Linked DNA regions of Diceros bicornis minor. The protein of the gene in region 3 purifies or fractionates together with the protein of the main gene of each other region. This does not show direct contact. Links are inferred from orthologs where the notes say so. Each region holds a gene or a part of one and is shown on either strand. Other genes may lie near its edges.

What was found.
Region 1: the proteins of HNRNPA2B1 (region 3) and HNRNPH3 fractionate together in Homo sapiens (co-fractionation; 3 studies listed by BioGRID and IntAct, with this or other methods). This does not show direct contact. The link is inferred for Diceros bicornis minor from reciprocal best matches to the Homo sapiens genes HNRNPA2B1 and HNRNPH3.
Region 2: the proteins of HNRNPA2B1 (region 3) and HSF1 purify together in Homo sapiens (affinity purification with mass spectrometry; 3 studies listed by BioGRID, with this or other methods). This does not show direct contact. The link is inferred for Diceros bicornis minor from reciprocal best matches to the Homo sapiens genes HNRNPA2B1 and HSF1.

The regions. Positions count from the first base shown.
Region 1 is NC_080745.1:37,596,811-37,604,651, reverse strand, and holds the start of HNRNPH3 (heterogeneous nuclear ribonucleoprotein H3), read left to right. Parts: upstream 1-4,813; 5' UTR 4,814-4,883; intron 4,884-5,109; exon of another isoform or gene 5,110-5,279; intron 5,280-5,741; exon of another isoform or gene 5,742-6,129; intron 6,130-7,841.
Region 2 is NC_080760.1:56,887,928-56,895,751, reverse strand, and holds the start of HSF1 (heat shock factor protein 1), read right to left. Parts: upstream 3,046-7,824; 5' UTR 2,910-3,045; coding exon 2,793-2,909; intron 1-2,792. Other genes in the region: ribosome biogenesis protein BOP1, read left to right, coding at 3,046-3,438, 4,992-5,198. UniProt on the Homo sapiens protein: Functions as a stress-inducible and DNA-binding transcription factor that plays a central role in the transcriptional activation of the heat shock response (HSR), leading to the expression of a large class of molecular chaperones, heat shock proteins (HSPs), that protect cells from cellular insult damage.
Region 3 is NC_080742.1:51,188,759-51,196,513, forward strand, and holds the start of HNRNPA2B1 (heterogeneous nuclear ribonucleoproteins A2/B1), read right to left. Parts: upstream 3,070-7,755; 5' UTR 2,884-3,069; coding exon 2,878-2,883; intron 1-2,877. Other genes in the region: CBX3 (chromobox protein homolog 3), read left to right, coding at 5,367-5,390. UniProt on the Homo sapiens protein: Heterogeneous nuclear ribonucleoprotein (hnRNP) that associates with nascent pre-mRNAs, packaging them into hnRNP particles.

The DNA.
Region 1 (7,841 bases), on a different chromosome or scaffold from region 3:
TATTTCACAATGTTCCAACTGCTTAGAGCTCCCACTTCTACCAAGTGATTTCCTACCTCCATGCCTGGATCTTACTGTGTCCGTGGTCTTCAATGCCTTTTCTATCTTTCATAGCCCAGCTGAATTTTACTTATCCTCTACCTTTCAGCTCAGGAGTTATCTCCTTCAGAAAGTGTTCCCTGAAGCCCCAGGTTGTGCTAATGGTCCTATCCTGTGCACCCCAAACACTCTGTGTTTTTCCTATCTGATCACTTGCTATAGTTTAATATACTTCATCTATTTAATGGAATGTATGTATATGCTCCTGAAAGTCAGGGAGAGCTTCACTTTATGCACTTTATTTTTTGTGAACTGAAACATATATACTGACCTACTAGGGATTCAGGAATGCCCTCAAATCAATTTCCATTTTATTGATAGCAACAGCATCTGCCTATATTGGAAAAACAACAGTATATTACATGTGAAATATTACTTATTCTGTCCATAGATAATACTTGGTATTTATATGAGTTCACAGATTTCCCTGGAATAACTTTTTGCCCCCCAACACAGTGCTTAGACACTGTACTTACCAAAAAAATTCTATCAAAGTCACTGTTTAAATGAGTATAACAGGAATGAACCACATTTATTAACAATGACATGACAAACATACATGAAACAGGATGGGACTAGAACTATTATTTCAACTACTAATCTCTACCCTATATAACAATCTAACAACCTACTTTAGAGATTAAGAAACTGAGCTTCAGAAAAGTTAACTGCCTCAGAATCAAACAGCTGGTAGGTAAGTGCCAAAACTGGGGTTGGAACCTAGGTCTGTCTGATTTCCTGATTATGAAGACAATTCTAAGTTTTGCCATTGACTTTTTTGTAAACTCGGGAGCATTATTTTATCTTCTGATTCTTCTATTTCTTGGTCCATAAAATAATAACTGTGCTAGACTGTAGTGAAAATTAGTTATTTAAAGTGCCTCCACCCCCAGTATAAACCATCATTGTTTGTACACTGAGAGGCATAGGTACATATATAATGAAACCTATATTTTTATCTACCACTCAGAAGCTTAAAATCATGCGCAGGGGGAAACAGTCTGTTACTCTATCATCTGTGTTGTGTTTTCTAAGCTATTAATGTGCTTATGACACATTAAGAGCAGTATAATAGTTTGCTTTAAATTCTTTAAGTAGCTATCTTTTGTAGCTGTCTTCCCTGGTCTTCTCAGCAATCCACTGGAACAGGAAAAACGTTCAATATTTTCAAAAATTAGAGAATGAATGTGTTAGGCGCTTTCTTCCTGTTAAGTTTCCATTTGTTTACTTAGCATATAATTATTAAAATTAGGTGAGACCTTTTGGTTTCCCTAGTCCCAGAAGAACACTTAGGTGACTTAAACAAAAAAGTATCAAGAATGTAAACTGTGTAATTAAGCCTTGTCTTGAGAAATAATTTTGAATCATGACAAGGAAGATCACTGCTTTCTAAAGACAGTAGATATATATGACATAAATCAAAGAATAAGCATTTCACAAAACCTTTTTCTGTGTGTGAGGAAGATCAGCCCTGAGCTAACATCCATGCCAATCCTCCTCTTTTTGCTGAGGAAGACTGGCTCTCAGCTAACATCTATTGCCAATCTTCCTCCTCTTTTTCCCCCAAAGCCCCAGTAGATAGTTGTAGGTCATAGTTGTACATCCTTTTAGTTGCTGTATGTGGGACGCCGCCTCAGCATGGCCGGAGAAGCAGTGTGTCAGTGCGCGCCCGGGATCTGAACCCGGGCCACCAGTAGCGGAGTGCGTGCACTTAACTGCTAAGCCACGGGGCCGGCCCCATTTCACAAAACCTTGGTAAGACAGATTTAGTGTTCAAAACACATTAACTACCTTAACTAGGGCTAGCCCGGTGGCGCAAGCGGTTGAGTATGCATGCTCCGCTGCAGTGGCCTGGGGTTTGCCGGTTCGGATCCCGGGCGCGCACCGACGCACTGCTTAGCAAGCCATGCTGTGGCGGCGTCCCATATAAAGTGGAGGAAGATGGGCACTGATGTTAGCCCAGGGCTAGTCTTCCTCAGCAAAAAAAAAGACGAGGATTGGCAGATGTTAGCACAGGGCTGATCTCCTCACAAAAAAAAAAAAAAACTACCTTAACTAGACACACTCCTAGAAACTTATTTGTGGGTTTTGTTATATTTTTAGCTTATTTGCTTTTCAAATAGGCAAAAGATTATGATAATCCAATTTTTAAGTTATTTTAGAATGCCATTGGGGCTATGTGAACAACTACCTTAACCAATTTTCAGTTAATGTACCTTCCCTCCTACCGAAGAGCGCAATCTCTTTTAATATCTCTTTCTCTCAGGCTCTGCATGGAATTTTCCTCTCCTCTTCATCCTGATGGTGTAATACATAACCACATGTTCATTACCTTGTTTTCCTCTGGGTGGTATGGGTACTTCTATTTCCTTCTCCTTTTTCATCTTTTCTCTCATTATGTCCTCTAACAAGATCCTCTCTAGGGTCCCTCTGATCTCTATGCTAATAAGAGAGCACTGAAATGACCAAAAGGAAGACAAAGGGAAAAAAATCCCAAAAGCAGCTGGGAGCCCTTAGTTCTAACCATCTCTATGGAAACAATTCCACAGAGATCAATCGGGAAACAATTCTGTAGGGATCACTGGAGCAGCGGTGAGCCAATCTCACCAAGCCTTACTCACAGGATTCAACTTGAAAATGAGAATAGTTGATAGATATATTTTTTTTTTCAGAGAAAAGTAGTAAAATAGGAAGCCAAATAAAAATTAGGTTTACCCCCATATGGTGTACTTTTTTTTAACTCAAAACTTCTTACTTGCTGTAATAATAAAAAAGCAAAATGAATGCACGTACTAATGTCAAGTCCTTCCTAAGCATTAACACTGGCAAACAGCGGAGTGCCCAATACAAAGAAATTGTGGCAAGAAAACATTGCAATTTGGTGCTGAAAAGTCATTAGGATGATTTTAGGAGTGTGGCCCATAACCATACAAAGTAAGTATGCGGAAAGAATGCCAAACTCAATCAGGCAGTAAATAGATTGCTTGAACTCAGGCAAGGGTCAAAGAGATTACAGAATTCCATCTACCAAATCAGGTTGGAAGACTGAAGGGATCAAGTAGTGATGTAACTTGAACCCACAGAAGAACTCCATTTGAAGTGTGGGAGCTTGGAGTCTTGCTAATACAGAAATTATTAAAAAAAAGAAACGGGGGGGGGGCTCACAGGGTCAGTGACACGAGGACATCAAGTTTAAGGCCTGTTCAAAAGTCTCCAGCCAATCAACTGTTAACTGCAGGTCTCCTGACATTGTAACTCCAGTGTTCGTTAGGTGAAGTAACTTCAATTTGCCAAAAATGATTTTTGTTCCCTTAATGCATGGTTAAATTATTTGTAACCCTGAGAAGGTCCACAGTACTTTAAAACCCTGGCCCCTGGCGTAAAACCATTTGGGTTCAAATCCTAGCTTCTGCCACTAGGTGTGTGACCTTGGGCAACCTTTTTCACTTCTTTAGAACTCAAGCACCTCATCTGTAAAATGGGGATAATAATTATCTTTCAGGATTGTAGAGTCAGTGAATTGAGCACAGCACCTAGCTCAAGCAAGCTCTCAATAAATGTGAGCTATTTTTAGTACATTATCCTGGTTTTGTTTTTTTCTCTCTTGTAATGAAGACAACACTGTTCCTTCTCCCTTTCTCTGAGGGGTATTTTGAGAGAGTGGGCTCAAGAAACGCAGTAGGGCTCTATGACCTAGCCAATTCTTAGTGTCCCACACTTGTCTTAAGCATGTTAGGATGAATTAAAGCCATGAAATGGAAGTTTCCATTATAAGAAGGTAAATGACCTCCTGTGTCCACCCTACACACTGCAGATCTCACAGGGAGAAAAAATTATTCAAGCTTCTCCACTGCTAACACCCCATGCGCCCTCTCATCCCACCCTAGACGGGCTTCCAAATGTCTGTAGTATAAAATCCAAAGTCTTTGGGTGGATACTGAAGGTCTACAAACTAGTTACGTCCACATTTCCAAGCTACAGGAACATCTCTGTGCTGAAACTCACTTCCTTTTCTCCTTCACTTCACGTACGTTCCTACGTTTGCTCTTTAACTTACATGGATCTCTTTAGCAACACTGCCCTGCACCTTCCCACAAAAATTCGGCTTGCGTTTTTTTCAATAATTAAAAAAAGTCCATAAGATGTCACTAGGAACCTTGGTGGTATGACAGCACAACCAAAAAGTATTTATTAGGTGTCACTTGTACGCACAGTTTTCAAGGATGCAAAGCTCTATTTAGAAAATAACCCAAAGTCGGCCGCTGACGGCCGACTGGTTACTAAGGTTACAAAGTGGAAGATGCAAGAGAGAACGCTAAAGCGAAAGGAGAAAGCGAGGAGCAATTTGTAGCGAAAGGCCGTAGGAAGGAAATCCATCAAGCCCCCCCACCAGACCCACGGTGGGTGGGGTTGTCGGCAGCGCCACGGCCGAGGGAAGGAGAAGCCCCTGCCCCAGAGCTGAAATCTGGGCCTGGCGGACACTTTTGTATCTTCGCAGCACCGAAACACGCCCATTTTTACTGCATAATACAAACATGGTGGACAAAAGAAGCCGTCCTCGCGTTAGGCGGCCGAACCACGTGGTGCCCTTTCCACGCAGGTGACGCTGGGCTAAGGGCGGGGCCTTTACGGAATTTGTTCTTGGTGGGGCAGAGTACCACAGAACTTTTCCAGATCGCGACACCACGGTTCCGTCAACTACACGCTCGCAGGACTACTGCTGCCACTTCACATTCTCCCCGAGAGGGCAGAACAGTGAGCCCTGAGAATTAGATGGTTTTACGGTAAGCAAGAAAGGCCGAGTTACCCGCCTTTCGCTAACCGGGGCAGCCTCGGTTTCTCTCCACCTCTCCCTCAAGTGGTCAACCCACCAGCGCGCAAGCGCACTTCGTGCTTCCCGCTCCAAGGCGGGACCGAGTCTCTTGTCTCGCGAGAGAAGGGCCGGCGGTCTTCGCCGCTCTCGCTCCACCCCCTCCTTCTCGCTCGCTCTCTCCCATCCCCCCCAGCCAGTCGCTCTGCTGCGCAGCTCCCTTAGTGGTTGCCACGGCTGGAGACGGTTGGGAGAACCGTTGTGGGGAGCGCTACACGAGACGAGCGACTTCTCCCTTCTCACGACCAAACCCCGTGAGCAGCGGAGTCGGCGTTACTGTCGCCCGACAGGGTATCTGAAGTAAAAGGGGGTAGGTTGGGCTGGTGGTTTCGAGAGCGGAATCGGGAGAAGGCCGAGACTGGGAGGGGGTGGGGTGGGGGGGAAGTGTGGAGGTCGCCGCTCGGAGGCGGCCAGCCTGCGCCTCCCAGGCGATCTCCCACTTCAAGGAGGGCGGCCTGCCGGCGGGAGGACTTGCTCACGTGGAATTCAGTGGACGAAGCCGAGACCCGAAGTGGGAGTCACCCAGCATTTCCCCTGTTTCCCCGCTGGTTTGGCCTCCGCCATTTTGGGTACGGTGGCGCGGCCACCTCGGCTTCCCGCCCTCCCCTCTTTCTGCTTTTTCACCCATCAGCTTCCGAAAACTGATTTAGAAGGCCCGGGGGTGGTCAGAGAGCCCCGGAAGGGATATGGATGGGGAATGAAGCGAGCAGGGAAAGGTTGGGCGCTTGGGGCGGGGGGAGGCTCTGGGCTGGCGGGCGCGCTCCCGATGGAAATGGCGCCGGATGGGCCTGGCCTCCCACCGCGGCCTCCCTTCCTCCGCAGTCTCGGCAGGGCTACCTGGGCTGGCGGGACTGCGAGTGACTTCTGACGCAGATTCCCAAGATGAGAGAGGCTGGAGCTGGGGGAGGAAGGCCAATGGCGACGAAGGCGCTCAACTCCCAAATCCAGGACAAAGGAGGCAGACGGGCTCCTTTGTAATTCCGCCGCCCGGTGGCCAAGGTTTTTAAGCCAGGCTTGGCTGCCGGACCGGGAGGGAGGGAAGGGGGGGACTCTCCCTAGCTCTCTGGTCTCTAGGGCAGCTAGATAAACGGAAAGTCTGCGGGGAGGAATAAAGGACGCTTAGCCGGCCCTTATATTCCAGATTTGGAACTTCGAAAAGAGTACGTACTTATTTTCCAAAGGGTTTTTTTTTCACGCTTATCTTAACCGTATAAAGACTTTGTGGGTAATTGTTTTGTAAGCAAAAAAGCGGGTGACTTATCAGATAGGAATGTGAAATGGGCATATTTCAGACAGGTCGTCTGGGCCCAGTGAACCATGATACGTCTTTTTGGGCGGGGATGGGGTGGTTTAGTAATAGTTTTGTGTGGTTTGGCATATATTGGATTAGAATTTAAGTTGTTAGAACACAACCAGAGATGGCAAAAGTGTGTGTGTGTGTGTGTGTGTGTGTGTAGGAATTAAGCTATTGACTTTCAACATTAAATCTCCAAGAGTTGTATTTTGGGCAAAGATTCTTCTGGCATTAAGGCTGTAGAAGTAAAATACTTCGAAATACAGTTAGTTTATTTTGGTAGCTAAGCATGTTTTTTATTTAGCGTAGGACTGTAGTAATATTTTGACCGAGAAAAGAAGCCTCCTGAACAGAAAGACAAACGGGAAGCCCAGTCGTGTGATGTGATTTTTAGTCCTTAAGAGAACTGGGTCGGTAATTTTCACCGAAGACGGTACAAAAGACATGCAAGGCCTGAAAATAAGAGTTTCCAGTAACGCATATGAATCTTTACGAGAAGTCTGTTGTCTACTTTTCCAGCTTTAAAAACAAAAAACTTTCCTGTTGAAGACATTCTATGATTTTAGTGGACTTTGAAAAGACAGCCCAGAGTTTCCTATAAAGTGGTATATGATATAACAGCTTTCCTAGTTGGATTACCGTAGAAACTTTTTTTTCTGCCGTCTTCATCTGCATTATAATTTGGAAATCCATCTAATTGCCTTTGCATTTTTAGTAACCATGGGTTTGTTTTTTTTTTTTGGTGTTCTTATTTTGGTAAACAAGTGGCTGAACTGCAGTAGGTGGTAACTTTGTTCTAGAAAATAACTCATTGGTAATCATTTTAGAGATCTCGCCTCCTTTAGATATTAGTGGTGTGTCTACGGTTTTTTTAAACTTAAAATTAAGGAATAAGCACATTGGAAAGGGGGAATTATATAAAATTTCCATTTTAATTATATCACCACATTCGTGCTGAAACTTGCAGTTCATTCTCATTTTTTAGGACCCGTGGGCAACCACTTAAAAATTGATGCATCAAACCCTTACTTTATGTATTATACTTTGGAAGGTAGTATATGCCTCTATGTTATAAAGGAATTTTATATTTCATTTGGCTCTTTGTTAGATGCTTTTTAGTAACAGCTTAGAGATAATTCACATACCATGAACCTCACTCTTAAAATCATACAATGTGTGGTCTTTTGTGACTGGGTTTTTTCACTTAGCATAATGTTTAGGAAATTATGTGTAAAATCTCATGTAAAACTGACTGAAGTTATCCTAATATTTCAACTGCTGGTATTTTTAATTGATGGTAACACTTGGAATTCTTAAAGCAGAATTGTGATTAGCCGTGACACTGTTGCAAAGAAAGGTTGAGATGGATTATCCTGAATAATTAGCAAACTCTAGTTTCTGAGACAGCTCCATTAAGGTATTAGAGCTGATTGTCTTTTTGTATGCCTTTAGAGTAAGTAGAATTCTTTTAGACTCAAATTTGGAGTTTTGAAGAGATAATCGAGTGTGGCTGTCTCTTTTTATTGTGTACTCTCCATATGCATGGGATGGAGAGTCACCCTATAAATTAGTCTGTCT
Region 2 (7,824 bases), on a different chromosome or scaffold from region 3:
GGAGTGGCCCCGCCTGTCGTGGGACCTCCAGAAAAGGTCCATGGCCAGTTCTGAGGGCCCAGGTGTGACCAGGTCAACTCCTCAGTGGTTTCACAGGGAGGTGGCAACCTAACTGCAGGACTGCTCTGCCCCCAACTCTCCACCTAGAGACCCAACCGCTCCAGAGTAACCCTCTGACCACCAGCACTCATACCAGCCACCTGGAACGGGCCCTGGCCTCAGTGACCTCCAGTTCCTAGGTCTCTGGGATTTCCCCCAGCCCCCACACAACCCTGTTGGGGTCATTCTTGCTCCCAAAGAGAAGAGAATTGCACTGATCAGGCTGGGACTACAGTGAGGCCAGAGAGGCGCTAACCGCCAAAATTTAAGGAGGCCCTCAATCTCAGGGCCTCCAGGTGCAGATGGGCTTAAAAAGAAGTGCCTCCTTAAACTGTGCCCCTGGGCACCTCCTGGCCTCACCCAGGCAGGCCTAATTCATGGAGCGTCCCAGCGGGCATGGGAGGCAGAGGAAACAGCACAGACTATAGGTCAGGAGAGCTGCGGCGCATCCCCAAGCCACACTCACAGTCACCATAATTCCCTCCCGTGAGCAGTGGGAGCTGCAGTGTCCTGCAGGACCTGTCCGGGGATCAGCTACATCTCTGAAGGCCCTTGCTTATTGAGCTGAAACACCATACCGAGTGCATCTTTAATTGGAGAAGGGTTTAGGGGGTGGGAAAACCAACACGACTCTCTAGGGGCAGTGACTTGTTGGCGTGGCCCTCAGGCTGGGCAGAGGAAGCACAACGCTGTCTGAACCTGGCCCTACTGGCCAGAGTTTCTGGGTCTGGAAGCGCCCTCCCCAATCAGCCTTGAGAGTCAGCCACCGCACCTCTGACTTCCCCTGGTCCCCTGGGTCAAACGCAGAGGGGTTCTTTTGGCAGAATAGTGGGTGAGAAAATTACAGCACCAAGAGCACGGACATCAGTCTTCCAAGGCCTCTGAGAGCTGGACTCTGGGCTGTGAGTCTGCACAAGTCCCTGTGTGGACTTTTTTAACAAAGGCCGTGGGGCTTGTGTGGGCATCCTCGAGGCCACCGGCACAGGACCACCTTCTTTCTTGTGCCCGGGCAGCTCCACAACCCCTGCCCAACCAGAAAAGGGCTTCCTTTCACCGCTGAGCTAATGCTGTTTCTGTACTCATTGTGAGGGCCACCCCCACTGCTGTGTCCTGCACCAATCACACCCTGCTCAACCGGCGTACAGACCAGGTAGGATCAAATACTTGAGCTCCAGCCAGCTCCCCATCCCCCCAAGGGAGAACACACCAACAGGGCTCATGAGCAGTGTGGCCACTGTGCGTGGAGGCTGTCACAGGCCTGATCATATCCGACTTTCCTGCTCGAAGGCCTTGCCCAGAACACAGGCTGCAGGTCCTGGAGAGTACACTGGTGGCATTTCACACACATGCCTCACACTCTTTCAGCAGAAACAGCAAGAAAATTAAGGGGCAGGAAGGATCAATCTAGTAGGATTAAGCTCGGAATATCCCAGAGGATCTCTGATGCCCCTCCCTGAACTGAGTAAGAGTGTTTCCTGCGAGTTAAGGGGAACGAAAGAGAGGGGACAGGAAGGCTAAACGAAGACGGAAACATGGGGTCATTTCCTTTGGTCAGGAAAGTTCAAGGTCTAGAACAAGGGGATGGTGGTAACACGACAGCCTGTGGGAAAGCACACTGCCCCTCTTTGGGACTTGTGCCCTCCATTAAAGAAACAGGCACTGGGGAACGGAGGATACCCACATGGAGACGTCACTGGGACCAACACAAAGTGTCTCCAATAAGAAGGCTGTGTGATTTCTAGACTCTTTATTCCCAAACGCTCTACAGGCAGAGCAGAGCTTCAGCAGGCAACCCAAGATTGAGAGAACCTGGCCTACAACTCAGGGCAAGCTGCATTTTTTTTTGTTCCTAATGGCTAAAGAGTGTGAAAGGGAAGTACTTAGTAGTTAGTAAGCAGAGTCTAAGAAAGCGGGAGTTTTGGCCCTCAGGAGATTCAAGCATGTTTGGAGGTGCCCAGAAGCTCTGCACGACCATGGCGGCCTTTCTCTAGGCCACCCATTTGCCAGCCCTGGGCGACGGCTCCGGCCTTCCCCGGACACGACGTCACAGCCAGGATGTGAATAGCAGATTCTGGTCTCCAACTCCAGACACAGTCTCTGATTTACCTCTGCAAACCGGAGCTGTCCGGTCTTGCAGGGTCAGATCATGTAAACCAGCCTGCTGCCAGGCAACTGGAGACAGAGACGTGAATAAAGACGCCCTGTGAGGAATGAAAAACAAAGCCGCTTTTGGGAAACGCAGCTCTGGTATTTGGACACGGGTTCGAGGTCAACCTGAACTTTATGACGTTTTACTTTCTGCTTTCGCTCCCTTTCCTTTTGCACTAGAGCAACGCCCTCCGATTCATGCGCCAAGTCCTGATTTTCCCCGCATAGCTGCCGACCACACCACCCTGGTAACTCATTTGAGAAGACACAGAGGGCCACCTGGGCACAACGTTCGCCAGCGAAACTGGGTGCTGTTCTGAGGACAGACACACTTCCGCAGTTGTCCAGCAGTTAGCAAGAGACCAAAGAAGGAGGAGCCCTCCCTCCTCACCCCAGAGAAACGGCGTGGGCAGGAGCCAACGAAGAGCGGGCCTCGGAAGCTTTTCCTCCGAACACTCCCTCGGGACTCCCCGCCCCCACTCCCGGGCCGGCGAGGCGGGGGCCTGGCTCTGCTCCTCCCCGCGCGTCCCGCCCCGGCCCCTCACCGGGCTCCAGCAGATAAGCGCGTCGGTGTCCGGGTCGCTCACGAGGGTCCACAGCTTGGTCAGGAAGGCCGGGACGTTACTGGGCCCCGCCGCGCCGGGGCCCACGGACAGATCCATACCGGCAAGGCGGGGAGAGGCGGAGGTGGCGACCGCGAATATGTGCCGAGGGCTCGGCTAGCACCGCCGCCACGCCTGCCGCTCGGGCTGCGCCGCCGCCGCCGCCCGCTGCGCACACACAGCCCCGGGGCCCAGCATGGCCGCCGCCATCTTGCGACGGGCGCGCTCCCGCCGGCGCCGCCCGCCCGCGTCTCCCCGGCGCGCGCACGCCGGCTCTGCTCCCCCTGGCTCCCCGCCCCGCCCCCGCTGGCCCCGCCCCGCTGGCCCCCGCCCACGCGCCTGCGCGTGCTGGCCCCGCCCCGCCCCACCAATGAGACCCGGCGGGGTGGGCAGGCCGCACCCTCTGACCTCACGAGCCCCGCCCCCAGGCCCACGCGACCGGGCCGCTGCCGGAAGTGGCGGAGCGGGTCGGGACAGGCCGGGGAGCATGGCGGGCGCGCGGGTTGCGGGGTGTGCGGCGGCGGCGGCGGGAAGGGCGCGGCCCGGGAAGCGGCTGCCAGAGCCGGAGCCGGCGCTGGCGCCGGAGGAGGTGACAGCGGGCTGCGCGGAGCTGGAGCGGGAGCAGGGCGGCGGGGCGGGGGTTGCACGTGGTGGCTTCTCGGCCCTTCGGCCCACGGCAAGCCCGCCCAGCGTGCGGTGGGCCTGGGAATGAGAGGAAGAAAGGGTCGCTTGTCCTTTGGAGCAGGTGGCCTTGTGGGGGGCCTACTGGGCAAAGAGCACCCCCTGTGCGAGAGGCGGCTGGAGTGGGGGCGGGGCGGAAGAACAGTCTGCGCAGGAGAGACAGGAAGGAGAGCTGGTGTCCTGTGCAGCTAAGTTATGCATCTTGCTATTAAGAAGATTTGAGCTTGCACCTTATTAAATACTTATATGTTTATACACTGCTAGTATGTTAGATCCACTGTAAAAGTTAATGAAAATATGAGAATAAGAAAGCTTGACTAGAACCCAGTGCCTGCTGCGTTAGTCACATCCTTTTGACTGGACTCGTAGCCGCTCCTGCTGTTCAGCTGAACCCCAGCTCGGTTGTGGGGGTGTCATCAAATCTGGGTCGTAGAAGGCATGTACAGTCGAGCCTCTCTCAGCGGACTCCACTTAGCTGGATTGTCAGGCTGCCCCTTTGCCTTGTGACCTGTCCTCTTGCTGCTCCCTGCCAGCAGGCAGGTCTGGGCGCCAAGATTGCCTGCTTCCACCACTGGGCTCTGCTCACCAGGAGCACTTGCAGCTGTGTAGCTAACTAGATATTGGAGATAAACAGCAGGAGGGAGTGTATATCAGAGTTGCTTCTATGAAAACTAAGTCGAGTGCTGTGGAATAACTGGTGAGTGCCAGATGTCCAGTTAGGTGAGAGACTTTTAAACTGTTGAGAAACAGTGAAATGTAGGATTCTGCACTCAAATGCTTTCTAAGTCTACAAGTTCTTGTTCCACTTTTAAAAGACAACCACTGGGCCTGCCCACTGTGTTGTGTCCTGTAGAATTAGGGATGTGATGGTGTCTAGTCAGCAGAGCTCTGCTCTAGTCCTACCCTACGAGGGGGTGAATGGGTGTATTCTTGTTTTTAAGTAAAGCTTACATCATTTTTATCACTCTTGAACCGACTGTTACTATTTACTGATCAATTGTTGGTCCTAGTCTGCTTGGATATGGAGGCTTCTACTTCAAGTGGGAAAAGCCCCTCAGGGGTTCTGGTCCTCTCCTGGCCCCAGCCCCTGCCCTATTGCCCTCATAGCTCTGGGGCCTTGAATGCCAGGGCGGGGTGCAGAGGATGGAGAGCAAGTGTTGGTAATGCAATGGAACCGAGCTCTAAGAAGGGGACATTGTTCTTGAAAAGTCCTTCCCCTGTGAGATGCTAGCAATTAAATGTTCCTTCCAAGGGCAGGCAGCTGTGCTGTTGGCAGAGGTGGATGGTGAGGAAGGCCTGGGTTGGGTGGATGGTTTTGGTGGAGGTGGAGGCTTGTGACCTGAGGGCTGTGGCCTTGGAGGCTGGCAACACAGACCTATGGGTCAGTGCATGGTGCCTGGTGGGCAAGGCTGGTGGGTGGGCTGTGGGGTCTGGCTGTCATCAACACTGTGCTCCTTGCAGCCCTCTCTCCTCTGTGACCTCCCGACCTCTCCGCTCGGGGATGGCAGCAATTCTGGCCTCTCTGACAGTGAGGAGAGTGTGTTCTCAGGCCTGGAAGATTCCGGCAGTGACAGTAGCGCAGACACCGCAGCTGAGGAAGAGGATGGGGCCAGCAGTGATGAGAACCATGGCGGGACGGAGAAGACCACTGGGCAGCAGGTGCGGTGGGTGAGTGAGGAGCCTCCAGTGGGCTCTCCCTCTAGATGAAGGTGGCCAGGAAGGAAGGTGCCCGCTGTGCCTTATGCTCTCTGGGGGGCTGCCCCACACTGCTTTCTTCAAGTTTCCTTGGGAACCCTAAGGCCCTTGTGTCTCCTCTGATGTACCTGGGGCACATTTGGGGCTAGGTAGACCTTGTTTGGAGCTGGGGTGCTCCAAGCTCTAGGGCACTGGTTTTCAACTGCAGTTAAGTGCTCTGTTCACAGGAACTCCAAAAATCCACATGCCTGGTCCTCCCCCTCCAGTGATTCTGATGTCACCTCTCCATGGGACTCAGCCCACTTTGCTAGATTCAGTTGTAGGGTGGATTTCTTAGGGCAAAGCCTGAGGTAGAGATTCGCTTGTGGGGGACTGCCTGGAGGGGCTCGCAGGACACACGTGAAGGGGTGGGCAAAGCAGGAGCTCCATTCCACCCCAGCCTGATCCCAGGGTGGGCAGGAGCCCGAGGGGCCCCAGTGGTCGAGGCTTTGGCATCGTATCTGTTGCTGTGATGATGGGGAAGGACGCACTCCGCTCTTGTTTTAAGTGAGAAAAATGAGAGCAAAGCTTAATTTAACTAAAATAAGGCATTTGTTATTTAGAACGTTCTAGAAACAAGTTTATAACTACAGGTGTTTATATTTCTAATGGCCCTGGTGTTCTGGAAGTTATGACCTTACCTCATACAGATGTCTATTCCCATAATGGAAACCAAAAGGCCGTGCTTGTTTGATCTGTTTACTAGGAAGAAAAGATTTAAAATCAAGTTTAAACCTTCTACACTATTCAAGCTTTTGTTGTAACACTGGTGTGCCCAGAGAGAAGATGATGCATTAACTGTGTTGACCGTGGTTTGTAGGATTACAGGAAACTATTTTTCCCCCTTTTTTAAACTTTTTGAAATGTCAAATATACCCTCCTCCACAAAAAATTAAATTTTACGTCAACACCGTTGAGTACAGGGTGGAAGTTCCCACTCATGCACTTGTTCCAGTTGGTGACCGCAGTTAATAATCATCTTTCTGGATCTTTTTCCCCTTCTTTTAAAATTAAACATCCACACACATTTAAGTATTTGAATATTTCCTTTAAAAAAAAGGATTTTTATCCTTTTTTATAAATAGAATTTTTAAAATAATTTTTAAAAATTAAATAGGGGCCAGCCTTGTGGCATAGTGGTTAAGTTTGTGTGTTCTGCTTCAGCGGCCCGGGGTTCACTGGTTCGAATCCGGAATGCAGACCGACACACCGCTCATCAAGCCATGCTGTGGCAGGCGACCCACATACAAAATAGAGAAAGATGGGCACAGATGTTGGCTCAGAGCCAGTCTTCCTCAGTAAAAAGAGCAAGATTGGCAACAGACGTTGGCTCAGGGCCAATCTTCCTCACCCAAAAAAATAAAATAAAAATAAAAATTAAATAATTCTTTTTTTAATAAAAATATATATATATATTTTTTTTGGTGAGGAAGATTGGCACTGAGCTAATACCTGTGCCCATCTTCCTCCATTTTTATACATGGGACGCCTGCCATAGCACAGCTTGATAAGCGGTTTGTATTTGTAGGTCTGCGCCCGGGATCCAAAGCTGCAAACCCTGGGCCACCAAAGCGGAGTGTGCAAACTCAACCACTAGGCCACCAGGCCGGCCCCAATAAAAATAATTTTTTATTTAAATTCTGTCAACTAGATAATGTGTACAAGAGGCTGTCTGGTGGAGGCTGGTGGAAGGGGTGCTCACTCCGGACCTGCCATGCTCTGACCCCTCTGAGCCACTGGGCACATGCTCATCCATCTGGGTTCTTGCTCAGGTTTCTGTGCCCACATAGCTGGGTATTCTTTGCAGTTCTGCCATCTAGGGTCTGCTTGCTGGCCTGTTTAGTGAGGACTGAGGCTGCAGCCCAGGAGAGAGTAAATGCCCCACCTTCTCCAGAGGGCGGGGTCAGCCCTTGGCCCTTTGCCCTCTGCCCTCTGCCTTCAGGGATGCCCTCTGAGGCCTCAGTCTGGGGAAGCTGGCCCGGGCCACCTGGGTGGAGGCAGTCCTCAGAGGGCGGTGAGGCTGCCTGTGCTCTGGAGCAGCCTGAGCTGCCCCTCAGTTGAAGCCAGGACCATGGCCCCTCCCTCCTGTGCTGTGCTGGGACAGCTTCGGGACTTCATGAGGTCTCAACTCCCGCCGGTGAGGTGTTGCCTCCTTTCATGTCACGGCCGGGCTCTGAGGGCCCATCCCTGTCTCCTGTGGGCCGTCCTGGACATGAGTCAAAGCCATGATTCTGCCTTCCACCCGCCACCCCGGACTGCTGCCTCAGGGCCCTCACGTCTCTGGCTGTTGTACTTTAACAGAGTGGTATGGTCGGCTCCTGTTGGAATATTTTCTGTTCTAAAGCATCTAAATCTCATTACTGCGTTTGAATTCCTCCAGGCAAGAGAGTGAATTGCAGAAGTGGGGTAGTCTCAGCTCCTTAGTGGAAATCCCCACATCTCCCCTTTTGTTCTACTCATTCCTCCAAAGCCGTCCATGCCCTTCTGCCTGGTTGAGCTGGGTATTCCCTCCACGTCTCCCGTTCACGCCCCTCTCTGGGTGACCTGAGCCCCGTTTCCA
Region 3 (7,755 bases):
AAATTTAAACCATATGTTAAACTGCATATTAGTTGTGTTACACCAAAAAAATTGCCTCAGCTGAACTACACAAGTTTCAAAGTCATTAATGCTTGATCTAAATTTACTTGACATTAAATTATTTCAAACAAATTTATTATCACTTATTTTTAAAAATACTTTCTGAAGAGAAAGAAGCAAATCTACTCCCTGGTCATTGAAGGGTTAAAGGATTCTCATCAAAATTAGCATTCAATCCTATATCCCACAGAGAAGTTAAAGTTAACTTTTAAAAGCTCAGTTGAAATCTTTTTTTTAAACATAAAAACTGTTGGTTCCTTACTTATAACTCATAGTTTACCATTTACTTCTGGATTCAGTATATCTGAAAAGTGACATTTTCCCCTCATTGCTCCCTCTGGTGGTGATTCTAATGCATCTCATCAAAAAAAAAAAAACCCCCTGGTAAAGATCATTCTTTCCCATACACCAACTCTCGATTAGGGAAAAAAATTCAAACCTTCAGTATATGCTCCAAAACATCCTTAAAATTTACCTCTCTTCTGACCAAGGCAGACTTTTTTAATGACCGTTGGTGTCTAAAGCTTCAAGTTTTAACATAACTGACTTTTTGTGGGCACCCCCATGTTTGGTTATTTAAATGACAGTACAGAAACAATCCGATTATTGGACCAATAACCATAAATACAATGAATGTAATCATTTTCTCCCAAAAACCACAAAAACGTTTAAATGACCACTGTGACTATTCAGTAGTTACATATTTAACTATCATTTACACTTCAATTCATTTACCAAAAAACCCGAAACCTCAAGTGTATTTAACTTAGTGGCCACCTGGCAAACTACACAAGTTACATCTAATTTCACAAATAAAAAAGAAAAAAGGCTAGGCTGAAATTTTTTAATCCCTATAAACCAGCAAGCAATTATGTTGCATTAATAGCCCTGTATTTGGGACTCTCAGTTAAAGAATGCATCATTATAATTTCCAGGTGACTAGGTTAAAAAATTAAAAATATTCAGAAACCCAATAAATCATAACGTCCAGGACAATCTGCTGTAAGTGTATAATACAAATTAAAATGTAAAATATAATTTTCAATACAACAGGCGATAACTTATTCCCAGCAAATAGCATTACAGCTCTCAACCCACAGTTCTATGGAGGTTTCTCCTTCAACGCATGATATTCTCCCAACAGCTCAAAAAATACAGCGATAAGAAACAATTTACAGATTTTCTTCCTACATAGTTAACTATTTTCAGGATTCTGAAAAATTTTAAAAGATTAACAAACTATTAAACTAGCTCCCGAGATGTTTACTTAAAACTACCAAAATGGTTAATTATACGGCATATTGATATTTGGATTCTTCACTTTACACCAAATACTGTCAGTAAACACGTCTTTTAAAACCCAAATTACGGAAATTTTAAAAAGCACATCTACAACAATTTTTACACATCACCAACAAAAGGCAAAAACTCATTACTTACCTCTGCTTTTTCCAAACTTACCCGATGTCCACTATCGATTACAAACAAAGTTATTTTTTAAGCGTGCTTAGGGTCAAAGAAAATACTCAGGTAGACCCCCTTCGCTTGAGACCTTATGCTTATCAATGTAATGATCAACCACGATTGCAAACATAAATGAGAAAAGTGACAAAGTTCAAATACAGAGCGGCCTAGCCTAACACAGTTCTGTATACAGCAATACACGCACTGAAGGACTGAGCCATGTTTTAACCGAAGTACCACTAAGAATAAACTCAATTTTTTTCTTCACTCTCCTCAAAATTTCTAACATCATTTACAAGGATCCGTAGTCTTATCCAGTAAAGATCACATTTCCCAGAAAAAATAGTATTTAAAAAAGGAATAAATTCTACCATTCTAAGGGAATCCTTCAGGAAAAAGTCCCCCCCACCTCCTTCCCCGCTGCCACCCACGCAGTCGGTAGTAATCTGACGGTTCCAAATTCTGACTTATTTCTCAAGTTTCCTGCGATTCAACTGTCTTTTTCATCACTGCAGGCCCAAACAAAACCGTTACTCAAAGAAACAGGACTGGAAAACAAAATGTCTTCTTTGTACGATGGCTCGCTTGAAACCGGCCCCCCACCCTCGCTCGCTTTACCTCCTCGGACGCCGCGCGCCCGGGCCCCGGAGGAACCCCCCCGCCCGCTGCTCGCTGCGGCTTCTGGACGCAATGGCGCCATTTCATCGAGGGGAAGGGAGGGAGCCTCTAACGAGGTGCGCAGGACTTTAAAGATCCAAGCTCACAAAACCCTCGGAATCCACCTCGAAACGGCATGAAAACAGCCCAAGAAGAAAGAAAATTAGTTAACCACTTCTCTTCTTCGGTAAAAGAATCAAACTAGCAGAATTCAGAGGTCGAAAAGAAAAATGCTGCGAGGAAGGAGAGAAATGAAAATGGCGGCCGCCAAATCCGGTTCCCGGGAGAGAGGGGGAGGGGAAGCTCCGCAGCCTCGCTCACGCGGACCCGAAACTCGCCGAAACGCTCAAACGGGGGCCGCCGGGGCCCCCCAATCGGCGTGCTTCACGAGGGGAGTAAGAATTGCCGCCTCGGCGCTCCGCTTTCACTACCGCGGGCCGCGTCCGCCATGTGGAAGTTCCCCATCCCCCACCCCCAGCAAAGGGAAATGGCGCCGGGAGGCTGAGGGTGGGGAAGGTGCTGTACAATCAGGCCTCCGCTAACAGCCCTCTTCGAAAATATCCTGCGACCAACCGCTTCTTAAGTGGCCCGATTTCACTGCCGCTCTCCGTCGGAGGCGGGGGGGCCGACTTCCACCGAGGCGCCAACGGCCTCGCCATGCCCTTTCCAATAACTCATTGATTTCAAACCCGTTACCTCCATCGCGGACTCAGTCGCTTCAGCCCGATTTCCCGCAGCCGAGCGAGATGAGAGAGATCTCCGCGGACGAACACGGACCGGACTCGTCCTGGCGCTGTAGTGAGAACTGCCGCTGCTCGAGAAACAACACCGCTAAGAGCACCTCCGCACAAGACCCGGCGTTGCTGCTACTGCCGCTAGAGCCGCTGCCGCCGCTTTTCTAGAACCTTCCCCCCGACTAACGCGTCTTCCCCTACGTCAGGCCGTTGCGTAAACGCCCTAACCGCCGCCAATGGCGGGAACGCTCTACCTCCTCCTTACGCCAAGTACGTACTCCTCCCCCCCTTGCGGCCAGCGGTGGTGCTTGACGTCACTTGCGTAAATGGGCTCAGTGAATTGCGGAAGGCGCGAGTCCTGCGTATTTCTCTCTCTCCGAATTGGGTCCAGCCCCCGCCTTAGCGCAGGGCAGGTAAGAAACGGTCGCGCAGTTTGAAATGAACGCTGCCGGGAGGAGCTTAATCCGCAGCTCTCAGGTCCAGCCCCCTCAGCCCAGGAGGTGGTCCCTGCAGCAACGCCGTTGATAATCCGCCCCCCCTCGCCCCCGTTCTCCCGCCTTAAAAATCTTTGTAGCCTCCCCCCTGCGTTTTCCCTCCCCCACCCCCTTCCCCTGCGCCGAGGACTGACTCGGCCCCTTCCGGAAACACCCGAAGCGACTGTAGTCAACAAATTACACTTCACCCTCCACCAACCTAACCCTGGCCGACGTCTTTGGGACTGACCCCTCGGGTTCAGAAAAGGTCTTTGCAGAGGGTGGTCCGAAAGGGGCACTCTTTCTCAGTGTCCGATTCCCCCCACCCAAATTTATCTTCATCCTCTCACCCCCAACGTTTGGAGGCACGCACCCCCAGGGGCGAGGAAGTGGGCGGAGTCCGGTTTTGGCGCCAGCGGCTGCTGCTGCGAAGCAAAAACGCCTCCGCCGAGAGGACTCTGGACAGCGTCCTCGCCCCTCCTTCCCTCTTCCTCCCCTCCGGGGACCACCAGGCGCCACGCCGCGAACGGTAAGTGCCGCTGTCGCCACCGCTCTCCCCCCCGCCCCCTGGGCCCGGGCTCCCGGCGGGCGCGGCGCCGCGCGGCCCCTCCCCCCCGCCGGGCGCGCGCCCCCTGCCCCGCCCCTGGCGGCCGCCCGGCGTGGGCGGTGCCACCCTCCCCCCCCCCCGGCGGCCGCCCCGCGCGCTGCTCCCCAGCCCCCTCCCCCTCGGATGTGGCTGGAGCTGGAGGCGCGCAGGGCCGGAGACGCTGCAGACCCGGGACGCGGAGCAGCTCGGAGGCGGTGAAGTCGGTGTCTTTCTTTCTCTCTAGTTCTCACTCGGTGGTGGCGCTTAACATACCACATGCGCCCCAGCTCCCCACCCCCTGGCCCCTGCTTCCCGTCCGACCCCGAGTCGGGAGCTGGTGGGAAGGAGCGGAGAGGCGAGCGGAGACCCCGCGGCGGGCCTGGCGCTGCGCCGACGCCTGTAGTTAAGTGGGGGACGAGACTGTCCCCGAGAAGGTGGAGAGTCGTGGCGACAGTCGCCTTATTTCTAGACAAAGCGCATTTTCCTCTCCCCTCCCCCATCCCGGATCACGATGAGGGGCCCTCCTCCCCCTCCCGGGCTTGGCCGGCGACTGGGGCCTCCAGGGAGGGCGGTGCATTCTCCCGCATCCGCGCGGCCAGCTTCCTGGAGGCTGCGGCGGGCGCTCCGTTATGTGGCCGCCGCCGGGGGCGAGGCGCGAGCCTCGTGGCGCAGTGCCCTTGAGCCCCCGCGCGCGGCCTTTGTTTCTCCCCGCGGATGCGCTGACCACGAGGCCCGCGCTCCCGGGTGGGGGGCGGGCGCCCGGCGTTTAGGCCGCATTCAGCAGGGTGGGGCCTGGGGCTTGGGAGCATATGGACGTACCGAAGAGGTGACTTGTTTTCAAAAGTGGCACGAAATGGGCCTGAAGCATCTCAGTGTGTTTTTCTTTTAGTGTTTTAACTAGTGATTGGGAAGAGGGAGGGTTTCTAAGAAGAAACCAAGTTGGGATTACATAGGCGACTCTTTGGACTGTTAAGAGGTCTCGACGAAAAATTCACGGTAGTTTAGGAAATTGTCCGATTTTGAACCAAAATATTTGGCCATTTTGTAAAGAATACTGAATATGTATAAATGGCATTTGAATTGAAAAAACATATTTGTCTACTGTTTTTCGGCCAGCGAAGCTGTTTCAAGTCCCAATGACCTCAGTAAGGTTTTCTAGACTCGCTGTTAGAACACTGATATATTCTCAGGCATATTCTCTCTAATAATTTACGCAGGAGCTTAAATCTGCTTTTGTATGGATTTGTATACATGTTTGATAATATGGGCTACATAGGTGGGGGTTGGAATCCAAACAAAACTTGTATTTAGCTACCTTTTTTGTGTCGTGCAAACTTCCTTTTAACTGTCATGCGTTTTTCTAGTAATAGCTCTTCAAGTCTGCAATAAAAAATGGCCTCCAATAAAACTACATTGGTAAGTTAATGAAAACCTGAAATATGTAAGGATCTAACTCAAAATTTTTTCCCCAAAAATTATAACTTTGCGTCTCTGTGGTTCAGAAATTTACATCTATATGTATTCCCCAGTCCCTTCTCTCCCCAGTGTTGTTATGGGGAGAATTAGGGGCCAAAACGAAGTCGTTACATTGAGATATTTACTGACTTGCCTGGATAGTGTTTTAATTCATTGAAAGAAACCTAATCTTGGGAGGATAGCGCAATGTGAATTTTAATGAGTATTTTTATCTTGAAATACAAATGCACAAATTTATGTAACATGAAAGAATATGTTACAAGCATAGAGAAAGCAGTAAAGTCTTGTTGATTGGCATAATATTTTCTAAATCACTGTACTGAATTCTAGAGAAAGCAAGTATTTTCAGTATTGCCCAGTGTCAAAAACAGGCACCTTGTACACTTAGATTGGGGCAGAAAGTGAATCTTCCAAATTACTTTCATCACGTTGTCATATTTCAGACTTGCTTATTCTAAAGTCAGACGGGCCTTAAAATTAAATAATTGCAGTGTTCTGGTAATACACAAAATGAACACAATCATGTATGTCCAGGAAGGAGAAAAGACTCGATCTTTCAAGCAATTTTTGGTCTCTAGCAGTTTCTTAAATCCAAAGTTTGCATTCTCAGGCTTCATTACAAGTTCTGCAAATGTGTAAAAGCCATGTCAAGTTAGAAGTTTAAAAAAAACACGAAATTCAGTTACGGTTCCCACAGTATTTAATTCTAACACTGCGTTAATAATAATCGAAAGCATATAAAGGTGAGTGTTAATATCTAAATAAAGCAAAACATTTGGTTTTAGTTTGTATTGTCTGTTGGGTTTCACAATTAAAAGGGCAAGTTGGTGATTTTAATTTGTGCCATCATAGGTTTGCCCATTTAAGTCAAATTTCCTGGGAAACAAAAACAACTATAAAGCCTATGTGGTGAGTCTCTGTGGCACAAATGGTTCCATCAAAGCCATCAGTGGGAAAAGCTCTTAGCATGTTCTGTGCCCCCTCAGGATGGAAGTGTCCTTCAAATTCCATAATCAGTAAAGGAAAGTAGAGATAATAAATTGATTTTATGAACACCTGTGTTCAAGTATTGGTGGGGAAGGGAACTAGCTGTTCATGAGGCTTTGAGGATGAGTATAGATACAGAAAGCAAGCAAATAGATGATTCCATTAAAATTAAGTTGCTTTTGCATATAATTTGATAGTTTTCAATGTCTGTAACTTACTGGTATTTAAATATTCTTTTGTAGGGGATCACATATTGACAACTTTAAAAGTTTTTATTTGACTTTTCATTTTAAAATAGTGTTGTGAGATGTGTGCTATAATTTAAATGGTAAAGTGAATGAATTTTCTTTTGAAAAGAAACAAATGAGCCCTTGAAATTAGCTTGAGTGCCATAGTAGTAAATACTTCATTTTTTATGCCAATTTTTTTCTTAGTATTTTTGTCCTTTTCATTTTCTGTGTTTATTTTTGTCATCCTCTTTATTCTGTTAACCTCTTACCTTCATGGACATAGCTGTTCTGGTTTTCATCTAGGATCAGTATCTAATAAGCTTTTGTCTACACCAATTTTTCTCCACTCTTCCTACTACCATTCTTACTTGCTTTTACTGAACAGAAGCAGAAAGCTATCCGACGGGGTGCAATACCCAAGTATCTTGATTAATGGAAATTGTAAGGCCTGACTTGGAGATGGTATCCAACAAAATCAGATGTTTGCTGCATTTTTTTTAATTCCAGAAGATTTTTATTTCTTTGTGTGTATGTGTACCTCTAAATGACTACATGGTTTTAATGTCCTTTTGCAATCTTGAGGCATTGCTGTTAACTTATATGCTATATTGAGGGATGACTTTAGTAACTAGGCAATTAGGATTTTTTTTTAATAGCAGCTTTAAGATGAAATAATTTTAAAACGAACATAACATTTGAGGTTTTACCCCCTTAGTCTCTCCTAATTAACCATTTCTGTTTTCAAAACATTTATTCATTTTCAATCCTTGTAACAAATCTGAGTTATTAGAAAATGGCAGGTTGAGCCTGGTCTGCTTCTCTCAAATAGTGTTATGCAAGAAAGAAACTTAAAAACTTGTTTGAAGTGAATTTCGTTGGCTACCAGTTTAGACTCTTTCTCTTGAGAAATGAAGAAAGCAGGATTTTTTTCACAGAGAATAAAAATAATCCAGCATTTTGGCCTCTTGAAGTGACAGCATTATAGCTTTGTCCCAAGTGGTCAGTAATACTGTCTACAGAGATTATGGAAAAATAATCTGTCCTTTTTAACTTATTAAAAAGGTCTTCTTGGTTGACCCTGCAATTGA